Linked DNA regions of Alligator mississippiensis. The protein of the gene in region 1 interacts with the protein of each later gene in a pairwise test. Links are inferred from orthologs where the notes say so. Each region holds a gene or a part of one and is shown in the gene's direction. Other genes may lie near its edges.

The links. The genes of interacting proteins can lie anywhere in the genome.
Region 2: the proteins of DAZAP2 (region 1) and ARID5A interact in binary tests that used the Homo sapiens proteins (3 or more experiments, as listed by UniProt). The two-hybrid records come from large-scale screens. The link is inferred for Alligator mississippiensis from reciprocal best matches to the Homo sapiens genes DAZAP2 and ARID5A.

Annotation. Positions count from the first base shown.
Region 1 is NC_081838.1:10,209,599-10,220,824, reverse strand, and holds DAZAP2 (DAZ-associated protein 2), read left to right. Parts: upstream 1-5,611; 5' UTR 5,612-5,725; coding exon 5,726-5,738; intron 5,739-6,579; exon of another isoform or gene 6,580-6,684; intron 6,685-7,347; coding exon 7,348-7,469; intron 7,470-8,034; coding exon 8,035-8,277; intron 8,278-8,924; coding exon 8,925-9,053; 3' UTR 9,054-10,347; downstream 10,348-11,226. UniProt on the Homo sapiens protein: In unstressed cells, promotes SIAH1-mediated polyubiquitination and degradation of the serine/threonine-protein kinase HIPK2, probably by acting as a loading factor that potentiates complex formation between HIPK2 and ubiquitin ligase SIAH1.
Region 2 is NC_081830.1:10,575,027-10,584,024, reverse strand, and holds the start of ARID5A (AT-rich interactive domain-containing protein 5A), read left to right. Parts: upstream 1-3,869; 5' UTR 3,870-3,940; coding exon 3,941-3,965; intron 3,966-4,023; exon of another isoform or gene 4,024-4,257; intron 4,258-5,727; coding exon 5,728-5,867; intron 5,868-7,999; coding exon 8,000-8,168; intron 8,169-8,480; coding exon 8,481-8,533; intron 8,534-8,910; coding exon 8,911-8,998. UniProt on the Homo sapiens protein: DNA-binding protein that may regulate transcription and act as a repressor by binding to AT-rich stretches in the promoter region of target genes.

The DNA of each region.
Region 1 (11,226 bases):
GCGTTCAGTCCAGGCGTGAATTTTGACTTTCAGGTCCTAATCTCTATGGGACAGAAACTGTCTGCACGTGACACCTCCCGACAAGGATGTCATCGCTGTCCAATGCAGGGCGGTCCAGCTGCAGGTCCGCGGGGTGCAAGCCTGGCTGCCACTTCTCCCATTGCTCCTGCTGCTGGCTCCCCACTTTCTTTGGGCTTCTGCTTCCTGCTCTGCTCTGCTCTGGGGGGCAGGGTGGTGCAGTGGGGGGGGGGAGGGAGGGCGAGGAGGGGGTCTGCGCTGCTCCCCCTCTGTGCAGCCTGGGAGAGAGGAGCTAGACCGCATGTGTGGCTCAGAGCAGAGCTGGGCTGCCCACAGTGCTGGGGGGAAGAAGTGCCATGGGCTGCCTCCATGGTATGCACCCATGCAGCCCAGGGCTCTGCAGGCACCTGCCACCTAGAAGTTGGGCAGCCCTGCTCTAACCAATACAGAGATAAGACCTCTTGGGAAGGCAATGAGTGAATTTCATTTCTAAGTGGCAAATAAAACCTGCTGGATCACTTCCTGATTGCTGCTGAGCATTTGTATTTAGCTGGGATGATCACTCAGCACAATGCCATCCCATTCACTTTGGGTGTTGTGCACGATGTCAGTCTCCAGTCTCACCTAGCAGCTTTAAGGCAGATTTTAGGCGGGGAGGGAAGGGGCAAGAAAGCAGAGGAAACCAGTCTTATAAAGGAAACTCAATTGCAACTTAACATCAACCTATCACAGATGAAAGATTTGTGGGTTTTTTCAACTCAAACCAAATGATGGACCAATTGACTCACTCTGACTCACTGCAAAAAAGGAACCAACGTATCCTATTATTTTGCTTTGTGCATGTTCTAAAATTAATAATGGCATGAATGTTAGCTTCTTTTCTTTAAGCAAGGTCGGGGGGTGTGGGGGAAAGAGCAGCATGTTTCATTTGTTGCTGCCTCTTAAAAAAAAGAATGTGGCTTCATAAAGCAGAATTATTTTTACCTCATTCTTTCACATCCAGTGTTAGCTGGAAAGAATTATAGCTTCTGGTTTCGCTTTGCAGAAAAGCTACTGCACTAATTTTAAATCTTTGCCTATTGGACTGATTTTAAATCTTTGCCTTAAAATTAACCTTTGTTTAAAGTTCATAAGATTGTCACAACATGCTTCTAAAATACACGTCCGCTTTTACATGAACAAATACATACATCACAACCTGGGTAATACAACCTAGATGAAGCTTCATCAGCCTGACAAAGGGTGTGTTTGTGCCCAAAAGCTTGCTAAGAAAATTTTTTCCAACTGTTTAAATTGGTCTAATAAAAGATATCAGATTTACCCAAAGAACCTTGTCTGCCAGTGTCCTTAGATCAGGGGTGGGCAAAATGCAGCCCGGGGGCTGGATGCAGCCCGCCAGGCCATTCTATCCAGTCTGCAGGGCCCCTAAAAAAATTAGAAAATTAATTAACCTGCCCTGGGCTGCCTGTCATGTGGCCCTTGATGGCTTTCCGAAACTCAGTAAGTGGCCCTCTGCCCAAAATAATTGCCCGCCCCTGCCTTAGACCAACACGGCTATAACCTACGCCCCTGAAACCTGGGTAATGTGCATTCATAGTAAAAAGCATGTAACTGCTGTTTCTGCTTCTAATTTATATTCTACATCCTATTTTCAGGAATAAAAAAAAAAAAAAGTATTTTGAATTAAAATAATTCAGAGTTGACTGGCTCCTCTCTACGATCACAACAAGGTCATATTTAAGATCTGATGAGTACCAGATCTATTTTTTCAGAGGAACTCCTTGAACAAGGCATTGTAGGCAGCTCTTTCCCGTTCAAGGAAGTACATAAATGCAAGCCTGACTTCAATTAGACTTAAGCAGAAACTTAAATGCCTGAACTGAGGCCCGAGTCAGATATTAATACCAGTGCACAAACATTAATAAATACACCCCCATTGCCGACAACATTTTCATTAGTAACCGGATCAGTTATGTTCAAAATGTCTTTGCTTCAGTACAGCTGTTATTTGAGCCTCTGCAGCACAATTCTGTTGAGAGTCTGGTTTGCATATGCTGTACTGTGATTATGAATATTTAAATACTTCCATCTAGTTGAATTTCACACTCATTTGCATACATTGGCATACTATTAATATAATACATAAGGGGGATAAAAGGGTACACATTGCATTTTTAATTTATCTCCAAGATGAATTTATTTTACAAGCGCCAGAATCTTTACTGCAGAAAATAGCTCGGTCAGAGAAAGAGAGAGAAGAAAAAAAATTATATTCAAATGTGGCCTAGGAATAGTTGACAGAAATAACATTTGCTCTGGCCGATTGTCAAGCCCCTTGTTCCAATGCTTGCTACGTCCACAGGATATTTTGGTAGAAGCCCAAATTAGTATTCCAGCTTTCTTGTCTTTGCCTCTCACTGGTTTAGACATTTGGTTTCTCTACCATACGTAGCAAAGGGAGTGCACTTAACCATGGAGTTTCTGACACCCCTCAGAGATATGCAATTCCACAACTGATGCATTTGCCACTCACCAGCTTCCTCCAGATGTTCTGGGACTAGGCCTGCCTTTCCCACTGCCTAGAGCTCAGGTAGAGAGAGAAGTCTACCATGTCTTTATGTTGGCCTGCAGGCTTCACCTGTCCCGCCAGAGAAACTCTGCCCCCAACTAACTCATGGACAAAACTCCCATTCATTTCCATGGGGCCAGAACTTTGCCCTGGGGGGGTAGCAAGCAGGAGTTGTCACAAAGTAATTATCAGCTAATGATTAATTACTATTTTGATATCACCAATTAGGCTTCTGCACCTGCAGGGTTCTGAGTGGCCACAACTGTTGTTAACCTCAGGCTAACAACACAGGAGTATAAGTACTGCACACACGTTGGGAAACCCAGGGCCTTTCCAGGTGTGAGTTTGATTTAAATTGAGGGGAACCCACCCCCCCAAAAATTATCCATGTCAATGGGCACCTCGACATGTTCATTAATGTGCTTTTGCTAATGCCGATTAAAATTAGTACCACTAGAAAAAGGCACATTAGCTTTTTTTTAACGTGCATTAGTGAAAGCCCACTTTTTTTGGTGATGCTTTAATGCTCACTAAAGCACGTGTGTTGCCATGCTGGTCTGCACGTTTTGGCCCTGCGCAACATCACCGTGAAAAAAGCAGTGCCACTCCCTGGGGCATTGGCCTACTTTGGGCAGATCTAAACTTTCCTGCAACTCCAATGTTTTGCATTTTAGCTGCTAAGTGCAAACAAGTGTCCCAGGCCACCCACAGACAGAAAACCCTCCCAGTCCCAGTCCCTCTTAGAATGCTTTGTTCTAAGCACAAGGGGCATTTATATGCAAGGCTGGGGGAGATGCTTTAATTAGAGCAGCTCCGAGTGCCACTCTAATTAAAGCGCCCTGAGTGTTTCCTTTATCACTGTCCCCATGCTTCAAAATGATGGTAATTGCCATGCTCCAGCAGACTTGATTAATTGAGTCTGCTTCAACACGCTGGAATTACAGCACATAGGAGCAGCCTTGCTGCTCGTGTAGGTACTAAGAAAATGCACATTAGCCTATTTTAATGCACATTAACTAAATAGCACTGTTTTTAAAGTGACACTTTAATGCACATTAAAATAGGCTAATGCGCTTTAAAGCGCACGTGTAGATGTGCCCAAGCAGACCTTTTGTGCACAGCCTAGCACTTGAAAGTAGCCTTTAGTTTTAAGGGCGTCAGTTCAGGGGTGATGACACTTTGGGCTCGATTTGCAGAGCAGCGCTAAGAAATGGAGCTTTGAGTGCTGTCTCCATGAGGCTGCAGGTTTCTCAAACAAGATAGTATATATATATATATTTAAATCCTTCCAGGTTTTCAAAATCTCTGGAAGGTGCTGGCTCTCCTGAGTGGAAATGAAATGCTTTGCTTGCTTTTTTTTTTTTTCTCTCCCGGTCACAAAAGAACATGTGCTTTGCCTTTGCTGGGAAGTTTCCTGTATAGCAGCATCAGGAGACTAGAAAGAAAGAATGGTAATATTGACACATTTCCATTAGTGAGGGGTGGGGGTGATCCTGCTAAATGCTGAGCACCCTCCACTCTCCCACCGGTCACCATGAGCTTTGAGACCATGCTCAGCACCTTACATGCAGTAGATTGCAAGATCAGGGCCTTTACAGGCAGCAAGTCTCCATCAGCCTTCAGAAACCATTTTCTAGCTCGTGACGAGAAAACGGCTAGCGTTTTACCCTTCTCTTGCTAATGGCAATGCATTTTCCTTTCCTCCCTTTCTCTTCAGCGCTTACAACTTCAGCGATGCAAAAACCCACTTCCCTGGGTATTTTTAATAGGCGGGTTTCAAGCTGTCTATACTGATCTTACTGCCACTTGAAAGGGTAAATATTTTTTTATAGTTCCCCATACAGGAGCAAGGTGAAGAACATTTGATGCTCATAAATTATTTATAAAGTCCTCACAGGCATACCAAGCCGATGTGCATATTCATCAGGAACCCTGTACATTATTCATGAGGAGTTCACTTAAACACAGAGAAGAATGAACCGGTTGATTGAGATGCTTAAGAAGGAGCTGGAGAAAGAGGCCTGAGGATTTTTTCTCCTCCTCTTCCCCCCCAAAACCAGGAGGCGTCAGGAAAAGTTTACATCTAAAATTCAGAAAGCGGGGATGAGTCTTTCAACACTGGGAGAACAGGCGCATGCTCTCCCGCAGACAAGAGGAGGGAGGTTTGCCCCAGGGGCAGCAATCCCTCGGTTTGAGGACAATCTTGACCGTGGTTCAGCAACCGGTCTTGGGGTGACTGAAGAGCCCAAGCCTGGAGGCACAGGCCCGGCCCAGGGCTGGGATTTCTGCTTGGAAATCGATCCCGCGGGATGAAGGGAGCGGAGGTCTTGCTCTTGAACTGTGCTGACTGACGCACCTTTAGTCTGTGTATGTGTACATACACGCATACAAACATACGCATGCACACACGCACATATACACACACATGCACATACATATATGTACACGCACATACATACACATATGTTCATTCCATCCAGGAAGAGCACACACCAACTGCTGACACTTCCTTAGCCTGATGAAGGGTTTCTGAACCCGAAAGCTTGCTTAATAACTATTCTCCAACCATTTGAGTTGGTCTAATAAAAGATATCAGATTCACCCGAGGAACCTTGTGTACATATACATACACGCACATATATACACAGACGCACATATACACACACAGACGCACATATATACATGCACATATATACACATACACGCACATACATGCACACACGCACACGCATATATACACAGATACATGCATAGATCTACATACATACATGCACATGCACATATATACACATGGACACAAATACACACATGCACATACACACACACGTACACACATGCATAAACACAAGCACATATACACACATGCACACATACATGCACACACGCGCGTAGACACAGACACACGAGCCAGGAACAGGCCGCCCCTGCCCGACCCCTCCCAGCCGTGACGCAGCAACTCGGGAGCCCCGCCCCCGCCCGGCCGCGGCCCCTTTAAGAGCCCGCGCGACGGCGCCCTGACGTCATGACGCTCTGCGGCAACGTCGCGCGTCCCCTCAGCCCGCAGTGACAACAACAAGGAAGTGAGTGCAGCCGCCGGCCCGGACTGACGCGCAGCGACCCGGCCGCAGCCCCGCCGCCATGAACAGCAAAGGTGCGGCCCGGGCAGCGCCCCCCGCCCCTTGCAGGCCAGCGCCGCCGCCGGGCACCGCCGGGCCGGGCGGGGGGCGCAGCCAATGGGAGCGCGGCGGGGGGCGGGGGTTCGGGTCTCCATGGCGCCGCGCGCCTCGGCCTGGCCCTTAACCCCTTCCCTGCTGCGGAGGGCGATGGGGGGGCAGGCGGGGGTGGGGGCCAGCCGGAGCCTCCTGCCAGGCCCCGTCACGGGCGCGCTTGGCCTTGTCCACGGCCCCAGAGGAGTGTGTACACACTCACTACAGCCTGCACAGAATATGCACACACATGCGCGTGCACACCACGCTCATTAACACCGATATAGAATTCCCACATGCACACACGCTTGTTAAAACCCGTACAGCATTCACAAACACGCTCGCACACGTACACCTGTGTGCGTGCTCAGGTGTCGGTGTCGCTTGGCGGCACCGCAGAGGTTAAACGTGTCCATGCAGAACCTGCCGTCCGTGCGGGGGCTCACACTAGGGTCCCTCTTCCCGCCCCTCCCCTTCACCCTGCCCTGGACTCGGAATAGATTAAAATGCTGCTTTTGGGCATTTACAATCCACGAGCGGTCTTTAAACATAATCGGAGGCCGGACAGGAGCTGACAGTGGCTGGCTGGAGTCCGGCCTCTCTGTGGTTACCTGCTCGCATGCAACCGAGTAGGTAAACACGCCGCTCTTAAACACCTGATAGCAATGGGGTTAAGGGGAAAAAAAAAAAAAGATTAGAAAATAGAGCACAGTGTCAGCTGCACTCAGAACTGGGCAGCGGTGACTTCAAAACTTAACAGCAGTATTAATTATTACCTCCCGTCAGCCTTTGCTTGCAGATTTACTCATGCCTACAACTGCTCTTGTCCATACACGAAGGTGCACGTCACAATAGTGGTCTATCAGCTCTCATTCCGTAACAGTTAAAAGGGTAAGAGGTTGGTAGGTGCCTTGTTTTTGTCGGGGTGTATCGGTGTTTTTCCAGCTTCAGGCCTCCTTTTTTTTTTTTTTCCTGAAGAAACCCAGTCTCGTCTTTTGGGAGCTCAGCTTTTCCGTGACTCGAGGCAGATGGGGTTAGTTTTGCATCGTATAATGTTAGCATCCTGAACAGATGCTCCGGGGGGGTTTGCATATATGATGCAACGCATCCGTAGCTGCAAACGGATCCATACGTAGCGTAGTTGATGCCCTGCTATCTGTGCTACTTGTAGGAGAGTGAGTCAGCTTGAAGTCCAAGCAGTGAAGTGCCAGCTTAGAAAAATGTGGTTTGTTGGTAAACTTTCCACAGGAAGTTGCTTAACTTTTTTTTAACCTGCTTCCTTGTGAAGGACTATAACTGCTAGCTACCTCTTGCTTTCAGTTCTGACTGAAGTAGCTGTATTGGTCGAGAGTGATGAACGGGCTCTGTGGCTGGGAATCGCATGGGGGGTATCTGTTGGTGCATGCCTAACACCTCCAGGGTTAACGATCTCTAGCAATCCTGCTTAAAAAAACTGCAGAAGAAGGGGCTTTCCATGAACTCATCCACCCTCTGTCCGATGTCTGTAAGGGTAAAACTTAACACCAGCTGTATTCTTCTCTCTCTCTCTCTCAGGTCAATACCCAACACAGCCTTCCTACCCAGTCCAGCCCCCTGGTAATCCTCCAGTGTATCCACAGACCATGCCTCTTCCTCAGCCACCACCGTACACTGATGCGCCTCCTGCTTACTCAGAGGTATAAGGCATGGCCCTTTTCTTGCTCTTGCACCTTTTCTCCCCTCCAGCCTCCCATTTTGAGCTATTAACACATGACAGCTCATTGCCTGTATTTCTGGCAGCTTGGAACACCTTTCACCTCATAGGACAAGAGCAGCAAGCGGTCTCAACTGATGATTGCTAAATGATTGCTCATTGACAAAGCCAATGAGACCTCTGCCCCAAAGTGCATGTGTACATGCTCACTTGGTGACTAAACCAGGGTGCTATTCGGGCATTTCCTCTTGCAGATCTTGAATTGGCCCACTCTCTTAAATGGCAGAAACTTCCTTCAGAGCTTCCCACAAAGTGGCTGCTATGGTGCAAAAGCAAAGTAGAGGGTCTGAAGAGGGTGTTGTGCCTCGACCTCTCGTAAAGTGAACAAACTTCTCGTTAGAAGTGATGGAGCTATCTGTGCAGCTGATCGGGCTGCTACGCCTTTATCACATTATCAGCACTTTGAGGAAGGATCTGAGGAAATGGCTTTGGAGCAAGGAATATTTCTTCCAATGCACTTGTGTTCTTTTTTTTTTTTTTCCCTTCAGCTCTACCGGCCAAGCTTTGTGCCTCCAGGGCCTGCCACCATGCCCACTATGTCTGCTGCCTATCCTGGTACTTCTCTGTTCCTGCCTGTGGCACAGTCTGTGGCTGTGGGACCCATAGGCTCCTCCGTTCCAATGGCATACTACCCTGTGGGTCCTGTCTATCCCCCAGGCTCAGCGGTTCTTGTCGAGGGTGGCTTTGATGCTGGAGCACGGTTTGGAGCTGGTGCCACTACTAATATCCCTGTAAGTATGAGCATACCACAGAAACCCCATGTGTCACTTTTGGAGCTACTCAGTAAAGCTGGCAGTCGGGGGCAAGACGACAGTCCTTAAGTCTTCAACACCAGGCATTTTCTCATAAGCATTTAAGCACAATTTCACAAGCAGGTTCATGGAAATTTCGAGAGAGAGTAGGCAGACACTTGATTGGGGTGGCTTAGCTGGGGATGATCCTGAGCAGGGGGCTGGACTAGATGATCTCATGAGGTCCCTTCCAGCCCTGCTTTCCTATGATCTTATAATTGGCTGCAAACTGAGTGCTGGTGTTTGGCTCCCTGTGTTATAAGATGCATCTTGTACTCTGGCTGTTGTCCATTATGCTTGGAGATGGATGAGAAGCCAAGTCTGCATTAAGTCCTTCCTCTTCCACTGCCTTTACCGGTCCCTTGCCTTTCTTGTTCCCAGTTCAGACAGTGTGCGTAAGGTGCTTTCCATCACTTCTGGTTGCTTGTGGTCACAGTCATTGAAGGCTGTCCTCTCTGCTGTGCTCGTGCAAAGGGGAGCATCTTCACTGTGCTCCAAGATGTCTTCTGTGCTAGGCTGAGCAACCACTGCAGCCTCTGCCTCAGAGAGCCTCTTAACTCTTTTTTTTCCTCTCTCTTGTCTTGCAGCCCCCACCTCCTGGCTGCCCTCCCAATGCAGCCCAGCTGGCAGTCATGCAGGGTGCCAATGTGTTGGTGACGCAACGGAAGGGGAACTTCTTTCTGGGGGGCTCGGATGGTGGCTACACTATCTGGTGAACAATCAAGTCAAACAAAAAGGGGCGCGAGGGGGGCGGGGGGAGGGGGCTTCATTTGTGTAAGGAAAGACATCACATACTGTCAGCACTTCTCACCATGTAACTGCTTTAGTCATATTAACCTGAAGTTGCAGTTTAGACACATACTGGATGGGGCATCCTCTTGATGCCCATCCCTTCAGGCACTTTGAGTCCTTTTGAACCATGTCATGGTAGCAGTGCCTCTATTCACCCGGGGTTAAATCATGAAATGAACGTGAGCTAAGGAGCCCCACAGATCTTCTTTTTAATTCCACTGGAGTAAATACTGTAGCACTGTCTTTTTTTTTTTGCTTTATTAATCAGCTAGGTATGAATTTGGCTGTGGGGGTGGGAAAGGGTTAGGAAAGAAACCTGGCTTCCACATCTAATCCGTGCAGACCTGTCTCAACTCTATGGCCTGGCAGTAGGGTTGAGAGATGTGTGTTATGTTTCCTCTTCTATAGAATCTGTGGATAGAAAGCCAGTCATATTAATTTTTCCCTGGAGGGCCCATAGTCAGACATATAGGGCTTTTTTCCTTCCTGACTTCCTAGGAGAAGGGATCCCTTGAAGCACTCTGTGCTCACATTTGCTCTTCATTTCTCTCCAGGAAGGTATACAGCTAGAGTGTACCACGGGGCGTTCTTTTATACACTCCAAGGAATCTTGGACTTCTTTGCACATTTAAGAATCTAATCAAAGCCATGCTTTGGTGCCAGAAACACAATGCAACTCATGTTTAAACATTTCATTAAATGCTATCTAGACCTTTAAAAACTACAAGCTTAGCAACATTTTTGTTTTCTGTTTTAGAGCAGCCTGGTGTCTTGACAGCAAAATTCCTTAAGGGGATTTAGTCAGAACAGAGAGACAGGTGGTTTCCATCTGCACTGAGGTGTGTTGCAGTTGTCAGTCAGCACACAAATTTCCTTGCTCGTTTGGGTTGTTTTAGGAATGCATAATTAAAAAAAAAAAATGGCTTGGGTACAGTGAAGTCTTATTAGGGTTAAGAAATATTTCAGGGATCCTCTATCTTTTGGGTTTTTGTTTTATGAAGAAAAAAAATCAGATTTGAATATATTTTATCTTGAGGTTTCAGTTTAATCTAAGTCTGTGTATTGTGTATATGTTGTGTTTAACCATTTAACTGACTGTTATGGAAGTTCAGCATTAAGTCTTTCTCTCTGTACACACTGTGGTGCACTTAACTTGTGGATTTTTTTATACTAAAAAAAAAAAAGTAGAATAAAGACTATTTTGAAAATTTGAATAAAGTGCCAAAGTTGCATTAGACCTCACAAAACACTAGGCTATTGCACAGCTTTCTTCAAGGCCTGCTTCCTCTTGCTTGCCTTCTTGCAAATCGCCTCTGTAGGTAGATCTTGTACAAGGGAAAACTACACTTGAAGTGGGAGTGAAAGACTGGGGTGAGGGGGAGAGAACAGGACTTGCTGAGCTCTTCACCAAGCTTCGTAACCAAACATGGTGAAAAAAATGAACAGAGAAAAGGATGGACTGACTTGTGGCTGTCCCAAAATTGTGTTCTGGGTAAGTGAAGTAGGGTCAAGTTAAAATACAAAGTGCAATGCATTTGCGGAGTTCTGCTTCGTTTGCTGGAAACGGTTGTGCTAGTGCAGAAGATTTCACTGTAACCTCAGGGCACACCTAAGTGTTTTAGACTGGTTCAGCCAATTCACTCCAATTTGGTTACTTTTTATTATAGTGCTGTCTAAGGGCCAACAAAGAATGCAGCTGCATTGGTTTAGAGTCTCAGGCACCAGGGGGTATCATGCTGCAATCACTGCAGCACAGGCATTAGGTCTACCCAGGCTGACTTTCATCTAGGTAGCCTGGGTAACAGCGGCAGCAAGGATCTGCCTGTGCACATTTCAGTGTGTAGTGTGTATCTAGTAGGCTTAAAGGGGCTGCTAGGCCATGCTGAAATTGGTGCTGCTGTGTCTGCCACTGCCTGACCTAGCATGAATATACCTTTCTTCATGCATATGCATACATGGCTGTGTAGATATACCCACCACAAGACACCTGTGAGGTGGAAAAGTCATTTTAACAGGAGCAGACTGAACAGTAATGATAGCAGCCAGCTGAGTTCCACCATTTCTTCTGCAAAAAGAGCGCCTTATCCTGGAGTTAGC
Region 2 (8,998 bases), on another chromosome or scaffold:
GGGCCAGAAGGACTTAACTTTGCAGCAGCAGGCTGCCCCCAGCACCCTTCCCTGTCACCAGGAAGGGAGCCCTGCCCAGCCCCTGAGTTCACAGAAGCCACAGACAACAGTTTGCTGTTGTGTATCAGGTACTGAGGGCTCCGGTGGTGCTCACGGGGCCTATCTTTGCCCAGCTGTGGGCCAGTTGGGGCTGGTGTCTCATGGAATTGTAGCACACAGGGCTAGGGAGAGGCCAAACAGTCTTGTTTATGGAGCTGCATTGGCCTGGGCAACTTCAAAGACTTGATGGGCTGCTGTGAAGAAGAGAGAAAGCCCTTTTGAGCATCAGGAAATACTTCTCTATCAGAGCAGCGAGGCAGTAGGATGGATGCCTAGAGGAGCTGCAGCCTCTCCATCACTGGAGAATTCAGAGAGAGGCTGGACAGCCACTGGTCAAGGATGATGTAGGCATAGTGACACCTGTGCTTTGCTATGGGCATTTCCCAGGCTTCTGGGCTTTGCTGGTTGCTCCTTTCCTGCCTTTTTGCTATATGTCTCAAGGGGTTTTCAACCCTCCCTCAGAGGTATTGGGTGTTCACTGCAGCCCAGGCTGGAAATGGTGACAGGGCTGTGCCAGTGCTCCAGCTGGGGCTAAAGCCGGAGGGCCCTGGCTAGCAGGTCTTGACCTTCCGCTCAGGGTGAGTCTGATGCTGCATTGGGGTCGGGAAGAAATTTTACTCCCTGATAAGACTGGTATGGACTGGGGGGCAGGGAGGGTTTGCCTTTCTCTGTAGTGGGGGCACAGCCTCTGCCTGGGACCCCTCAAGTATTTATTAACAACCTGTACAGCACTAGGACGTTGGGTGCTGCAGCCCCCCTCTTTCCCTGTGGCCGATTCAGGTGTGTTGTCTGGTGTTGTGTCAGAGTTACCAGTAGACTTTTGTTGAGTTTAGATGATGGATGTGTCTGGGATGGTTTGGACAGGGCTGATCCCACCTCAGGCAGGGTTAGGACCAGAGGTGACCTCTGCAGGTCTCTTCCAGCCCTACTTCTCTGTGACTCTATGGGTGACTGGAAACCACAGGCCTTTGTACCCACTCTATCCGGACCTCAGCCCCATGGAGAGGGCCCTGCCTTGTGGTGTCCCAACCCCTTCTCCTCCTGAAGTCCATGGGAGCTGAGCAGTGTTGGCCTGGCATGTGATGGAGGAACTGTTGCCTTGCCTTCCACAGATGCCCATGGCTAACCCCGCGTGGTCAATCTGAAACCCACAATGCTCTGACAGTTCCACGCCTGGCTACCTCTGATGCAGGCTGCCATCACTGCTGAGTAGCAGCCACACTCTCCATCGACCCCAATGGGCATTCACCTCCCTGGACATCCCTGCTTCCCCCTCCACCTCTGTCTCTTTTGTTACCACCGGCTCTCAGGTCTCGCTCTGCTGCTCTCCTATCAGTCCCGTCAGGGGATTCTGGGGACAGTTCTTCAGAAAGGAGACTTGAACACAGAGGAGGAAGTTGTAAAAACCAACTGTGGGCTTCTCAGCTTGTTCACATGCCTCTCCCTTCTCTTGTGCTCAGAGCCATTCTCCCTCTTCCTTCAGCCCCTTCCTTCACAACCCAAAAGAGAGGAAATCATGCTGCCTTGCAGCAAAGATTTTGGCAATGATAGTGACACTGCTCTGAAGCTGGAGTCAGTGAAATTGCAGCTGGAAGGGGCAATAAAGCCCCTACACTACCCTCTCTCACCCTGCTGCTGCTGCCTCTCCCTAGCCCTCCCACCCTGCTCCCCTGGGGGTCCTTCTCCAGGCTCCTCACTAGGGCACGTAAGTGTGTGGCAGGGTTTGAGGGCACAAAAGTATCCCGATGCCCCTTTATAAATCCCTGGGGCAGCCACACCTTGAATACTGCACCCAATTCTGGTCCCTACACTTCCAAAAGGAGACAGAAGAACTAGAGAAGGCACAGAGTGCAACAAGGATTTTGCAGCATGGAGGAGCTTCCATATGAGGAGAGACTAATGAGAGAGAGTGAAGTGGATAGATAAATTAGATAGATAGAGTGTGGGGTGGATAGATAGATGCATAAGCAGACTGTGGGGTGGATACATGGACAGGTAGAGTATGGGGTGAATAGATAACTGGATAGGGTGGATAGATGGATAGACAAGAGCGAGGGGTGGTAAATGGCAATTCTTATGTTCTTATGAGTCACTTTCTGGACAACAGAGCCTACGGACTGCTTAAACTGGTGGTTCACAACTTTGACAGGAGTCAAGACACCCCTCGTTAGACCTAACATCCCACCTTGTTAGACTGCAGACTCTGCTTGGACAATGCCAGATATTTGCTTTTGCTTGTTCCTTGATGACAGAACAATCCTGGAGTGATTCTTTGGCAAAGACCTCAGCAAGGTGCCAACAGGGCTTGGATACTTGATTCCTATTGGAAATCTCTGGGTTTCTCTTGTGAATGGTATACAGTGTTAGCACCCTTTAAAGGAATCATGGCAACCCCAGGTGAGAATCACCAGTGTCAGCGTGTTAAGGCCATGTGGAAGCCTGGCTGGTATCGGTGTCCCAGCGCCTGCAGCTCTTCTGAGCAGAGACACCACAGGAGGCAGAACCATGGGGGCACAGTAGTTCCAGCAACATGGACCTGGTCCCACTGCTGTAACCACATGGGTGCAAGGGTTTTACTGCCATACAGGAGGCATGAAACCACTGCCCCAACGGCTCCACCGCCCCTACAGTTCAATGCACCTTCTGTCCACCCAGAGGCTTTGCTGGGCTGCTGTTAAGACAGAGTTTCAATGTAGCTGCAATGGCATGAATGACCAACTTGCAAACTCCTTCTCTCTGTTGGTACGGCCGTTATGGATGCGAATTGAGAGTGTCAGGTTTATTAGCAGCACTGGACTTGCTACTGAGCTAAGAGACTCCATCTGCACCTGTCCGGTCAGTTTTGAGAGTAAGTCATGAGTCTTAATTGAAATAAAGCCCTTTTGCCATGGGAGCGGAAGCTGGAGAGAAAAACCAGATTTATTTACAGGCTCCAATGCTGTCAGTTGGCTCCGTAAGAAGGGCCCGGAAATAGCAGAAAGGGGAATTGAAACAAGGCTGTTAGAGAAAGCTGCTGCTAGAGCCGGTCAGAAGCAGCCAGCCGCGATGTCTTTGGGAGCCCTGGCTGGGCCTCAAAAAGGACTTGGGAAGCCGAGAGTGTCCAGGGGGAGCAGCAGCCAGGATGTTGACAGCCGTGGCAGCAGCAGCGAGCCTGAAAAGTCCATAGCAGTGATTCTCAGCTGGAGGACCCGGGAGACTCCTGGAAGGGGAACTGTCAGGTGTGCAAACGCCTACACAATTCACAAGAAAAATACTGTGATTTCTCATCCACAGTGTCCCAACCCTCCTACCCTACTGGTGTCGTGCTGAGGTCTTTGCCATAGAAGAATGGCTCTAGGACAGTGGTTTTCAACCTGTGGTCTGTGGAGCCCTGTGGGGCTGCAGGCTGTGGCTAAGGGGCCTGCAAAAGATGACCGCAATCAATCAAGAGTATGTGAATATCCACCCTTACAATTCAAATGGGTCTGTGCCTCTGTTTGAAATTCCCAAAGAGGTCCGCAAATGGAAAAAGGTTGAAAACTACTGCTGTAGGATTTTGCCAGCATCAAGAAATGAGTGAAAGTGAAGAGTGGAGGCTGACTGGCGGGGACTGGAGAAGACTGGGACCCTGCTTGGCCGGGGGCGGACACTCGCCCACCGGATCCCGGGTGAGGGACCAGGGCCGTGGATCGCCGTGCCCCTCCAGCAGGGGGCGAAGGTGGGACTACAACTCCCAGGGTGCCCCGGGTCGGGGAGGCGGGGCCCTGCGGAGACGGGCAGCGCGTGTGGCCAATGGGCGGCCGGGGCCGGCGGGGCAGCGCGGCGGCCGGGCGCGGAGCTCAGTCGGGCTCGGGAGCGCTCGATGGAGCGGGCGTCGCGGGGCTGGGGTGAGCGTCGCGCGGGGCTTCGCACGCGGGACATTGCCCACGTAGGGCAGTGCGCCCCCGCTCTTTGCACGCTGGGGCTTGCATGCGCGGGACGCTGTACACGCGGGCACCAAGTTGCACCTCCCGGGGGCGTGTCGCCGAAGCCGGGGCTTCCCGGGCGCATGGCGTGGGCTGCCCGTCTCCCTCCGCTGCCGGGCCTGCCTCAGTTTCCCTGTGTGCAGGAGGCGGGGGGCGCCGCCCTGGCCCCCTTGTGGAGTCCTGGCGGGGGGAGCCCCCCAGCTGCGTCCCGGAGGTGGGGAAGCTCCGTCCCGGTGCCAGGGGGCACCATAGATAGGGCTGGCAGGACTTGCACCCCGTCCCCTCGCCGGGGCTCCGGGGAGGCTGGCGGGGAGAAGGGGCCGTGCCCAGCGGAGGCACATTATGGGGCGGCGGGGCATGGAGCTTCCCGGAATCGGCGTCACGGCCGGTACCGCCCGCGCTGGGCGTGTGCCAGGGCCCGGGGGGCTGCTTGTCTCCCCACTCACACGAGCTGGGCTGGGAGCGCCTGCATCCCCGGGGCGCGGGCAGGCATAAGCATGTGCGTGTCCAGGATACCTGGGTTCCCCACAGGACTTGGCAGCACCTTGGTGCTTGCCATCGGTCCCATCTCTCCCAGCTCAGCTGTGGCTTAGCTCCCCGTGCCTCAGTTTCCCCCACTCCACAGAGTGGGAGCAGTTGTGGGCAAGTGCTCACCATGGGTTTGGTGGCTGAGGCTGTCTTGCCCCCCTCAGGTACGGGCCTGAGCCGCAGAAACATCAGACTCCCTTTCGCTGCCTGCCTGCCTCTAGGAGGTCCGTTTTCCATGGCTGTTAGCTCCATCACCAGACCGGTGCTGGGGACTGCTGCTAATAAGCCAACGTGGAACACGGGGCAGAGGGGCATCACCCCATCTGGCACTTGTCTGGATCCCCCTGTGCCCCCCTGATGTGCTGAGATCTGGGAGGCAAGGGCTGGAGCCTGGGATCTCCCCTCTACCCAGTGCTTGCTGGGAAGGATGGCAGAGATGTCCCATCTGCCGTGGGCGGGGCAGGGCCGGGAACAGGACGTCCTGGGGGCTGGCAAGAGGCCCGTTCTCTGCGGCTCCAAGCCGGGAGGGGGCTGAGTCTGCACGGGGGGGGGGGGAGATGGTGGTGCCCCAGGGCCCATGTGTGAGGGATGGAGGTCTCGGCACTGGTGGGATGTGAGCCAAGTGAGGGTCCCGTGGGGCATCAGCGTCGTGGTGCTCCCCACCCCCATGCCAGGGGGCTATGCAGGGTCTCCTCAGGGGGGCAGGGTCTTGGGGGTGCTGGACAACATCTTGGCATTGTCACAGTGTGGCACCAGGGTCCCCACAGCAGGCCTGAGGCAAAGCTGGGAGGCTCCGTGGCCAAGGGGGGGTACAACTAGGGGACTGTCAGCCGGGGTTGGGATGAGGGGTCTTGGCCAGCTCCAGCTGCTAGAGGCATCTGCCTTGGCCATGCCGGGGCTGCTGAGGCAGCAGGGGGGACATGCGCAGCTCTCCCCCAATTCCAGGAAGCCGCCCTGAAAGTGAAAGTGCAGGGTGCTGTTGATAAATGCAGGAAACGTGTTGGCTACGTAGCCTCATTCTTGGAAAGCCCAGCATGAGCCCTCTCTGCTCCCCACCCCCTGCCAGCTGGCTGGGTGGCCTGAACTGCCCTTGCACTGGGGACAGGCATCTGCCAGGCTCCCTCCTCAGTGGCCTGTCTCCTCTTCCTCCCCACAGCCCCTAGTCCCAAAGGGAAACACCAGAAGAAGGTGCCGCCTGCCATGGAGGAGGAGAGTGTGTCTCAGCCAGGTGCTGCTGATGCTGCTGCACTGGATGCTGAAGAGAACCCAGGTCCCACTGACCCCACACCCCAGGCGGTGAGTGAGATGGGGCACCACATCCCCTTCTGAGGGTCCTGGGATGCGCTCGAGTGCCGGGAGATGAAGAAGTTGTGGGGAGCCATGTCTTCAGCTGCCCCCGCGAGCCGGCATGAGGGCTTGGGGCTAGTCCAGCCTGCATGCACAGCACTTGAACCACTCCAAGCAGGCTCCTACTGGCCTCAGTCTTGGCTGCTTGTCGCCAGCATCCATGACTGGGTCAGGCCAGGGTTGGTCCTGTTCCTTCTGGACTGAGGGGCAGCAGCACAAGTTATGTGTCCCAGGGCGAGCATGGGGGCAGGGGCAGGTGGGTGTTTGTTCCCTGGCCCCCTGTGCCCTCTCCCTGGCATTGAGGCAGGGGAGAGTTGGAGGAGCTCCATGGAGCAGTGGGTTCCAGGCCAGGCTGGGGCTTACAGCTGGGCATGACCCACAGTGTGGAAACCCAGCCCTACACCCTGACATCCAGTGTTGGTAACCCCAAAAGGGGACTGCTGGCTACACACAAGGCCCCCACAGCTCTTCCTGGCTTCTAGTTCCATTGTTGGAGGCTGCTGCCTATGTGGCAGCTGAATGAGTGTGCCAGTCTCTCTCTCACGTGCATAAGTGTGTGTGGGGGGGTCACAGCCATGACAGAGCATCCCATGGTGCCCTGGACCACAGCACAGCCAGGGTGGTGCTGCCCATCACAGCATTAAAGTACATGGGTTCTGGGATGCATGTCAGGTCTTGCCTTGAGGCTGGGAGCTCCCCAGAGCCTCTGTCAGTGGCTGGACCCTAAGCCCCCGGCCGGCACCTTCCATAGGGCCGTGGCCTGGCATGGAGGTGCCACCACTGTGGACATCTAATTGGTTGGATGCCCTGGAGCTGTTATGAGAGGCATCCTTACCTTCAGAACCAGACCCATGGGGTCTTCCTGGCATGTTGTCTCCTAGCATCAGGAAACACATAGGGCCTGAGGGGGGCACTGGTCATCCCTGACCAGTTAGTTGCAGGGTAGAGGGGAGATTTCTCCCCTTCAAGGCCAGGGGCCAGAGCATCTCAGTGCTGAACTCAAGCTGCCTCCACCCCATGGGGCATGAGAGACAGCAGGGGTGGCTGGGCAGGGCCAAAGATATCCAGCAAAGCCAGGCCTGCAGTGGGCAAGATGAGTTTGTTGGGTCTCAGTCCAACTTCTGCCAGGCAAGAGACCCTCTCCATGCCCTACTGGGGCAGGCATACGTGGGCAGGGACTCTGCCAAGGTCCTGGCAGGCTTGGGGAGGAATGGGATAGCAAGCTGGAGATGTGCCCAGCAGCTCTGCCCCCTCTCCCCCCTTCCCCTGCCTGATCTCAACTCTGCTGGGGCTTAAAAAAACAAACCTCCCCCCATCCTCAGAGGCTGGGTCTGTCTCCGCCTGCGGCGAAGAGACACAGAAGAAGTGGCGGAAGAAGAGAAAAAAAAGCAAAGAAAGGGGTCTCCGGAGCCAAGCAGCTGCTTTGCCCTAAAATAGCAGCGAGTTTTCTAACTCCGGAAAGCACAGAGCAAACACGGAGCGGTGTTTTCAGCCCGGCGTGAGGCTGGGGGAGCAGAGAGGGAGCGAGAATCTCGGTCATTCTGTTTTCCTGGAAACAGTTCCCCGTTCGTGCTCCGCTCTGACCAACTTGGCCACCTGCCCGGGTGGGAGGAGCCATGCTGTTTCTGCTAGAGCCGGTTGGGTGCTGTGGGCCATGGGGCTGGGAGAGGGGAAAAGGCCCCAGAGGCATGGGGGTGGGCTCTGGTGATGAGGTAGGACGGCAAAGGCAGTATTGACTTCTGAGGAGCCATGGGACATGTCTTGCCCTGGGAGTCTGGGCTGCCACCTGGGACTTCAGGGTCTTCCAACAGGCTCTCGCCGGTTGGGGCCCAGACTCCTGGGCTCTGTCTCTGGCCGCTCTTGCTGTCAGGGCAATGGGGAACTCGGAGCCTGGACTCCTGGGTTCTCTCTTTCTCTGGCTGCTTTAGGAGTAGGGCAGGCTCTTGTGGTCAGAGCAACGGGGGATTTGGGGCTTGGACTCCTGGGTTCCCCTTGGCTCTGCCAGGACCAGGGCCGAGGTCGCTCCGGCTTTGGCAGCTCCCGGCCCCTGTGGCTGAGCGTGGGGCTGTCTCTTTCTGCAGGCCAGTGGCTCTGAGGGGGAGCAGAGGGACCCCGCAGGGGAGCTGGGCGAGGACGCAGCCTTGAGCGGTGAGAAGGAGGAGGAGCAGGCCTTCCTCGTTGGCCTCTACAAATTCATGAAGGAACGTCGCACGCCCATTGAAAGGATCCCCCACCTCGGCTTTAAGCAGAGTATGTCCCCTGGCACCTCTCGGGGCCTTCCAGAATCCTTTGCTGGTCCCAAATCTGCCAGACTTCTTTACTGACAGCCACAGGTCTGTGTGGCACCTTGCCTGTGCCAGGCTGGCCTGGGCAGGGCCCTGATGTGGCAGCACCCCAGGGAGGGCTGCGGCTGGGTCCTGTGGTCACTGCAACCCCCCAGCATGGCTGAGGTCCCCCAGGCCCACCTGAGCAGGTTGAGGGGGGGCAGTACTCTGGCTAGGGCACGAGGATGGTTCCCCTGGGCCCTGCCCTCACTCTGCTCCCGTCCGTGTGTCTGTCCAGTTAACCTGTGGAAGATCTACAAGGCCGTGGAGAAGCTGGGTGCCTACGAGCTGGTGAGCGGAGGGGAGGGGCCGGGATCACATCCTCTGGGCCTTGTGCCCAGCTGGTGACTGCTTATTCTGGCCCTGGCATAGGGGGCAGCAGAGCTCCAGCCATGGGGCAAGGCAAGGGGAGCTTCTGGGCTCTCCTGGCTTGCTGAGCTGGGCTGGGGCCATGGGGACCAAAGCTTGGAGCCAGATCCCAGCTGATTTTGGCCCCTGGGGATGGGTGGGAGAGCAAGTCAGAACTTGGCAATGCTCCAGCTGCAGGTCTCCTGAGCTGTCATCGCCCTCCAGATCAGGGCTCTGCTCGTCCAGCCATGCCCTAGGGCAGGGGCACATGAGGAAGGCGCTGGGCACATCCTGGGGCCCTCACCTCCCTCCCACCACAGGTCACAGGCAGGCGGCTCTGGAAGAACGTCTATGATGAGCTGGGCGGGAGTCCTGGCAGCACCAGCGCAGCCACCTGCACCCGGCGCC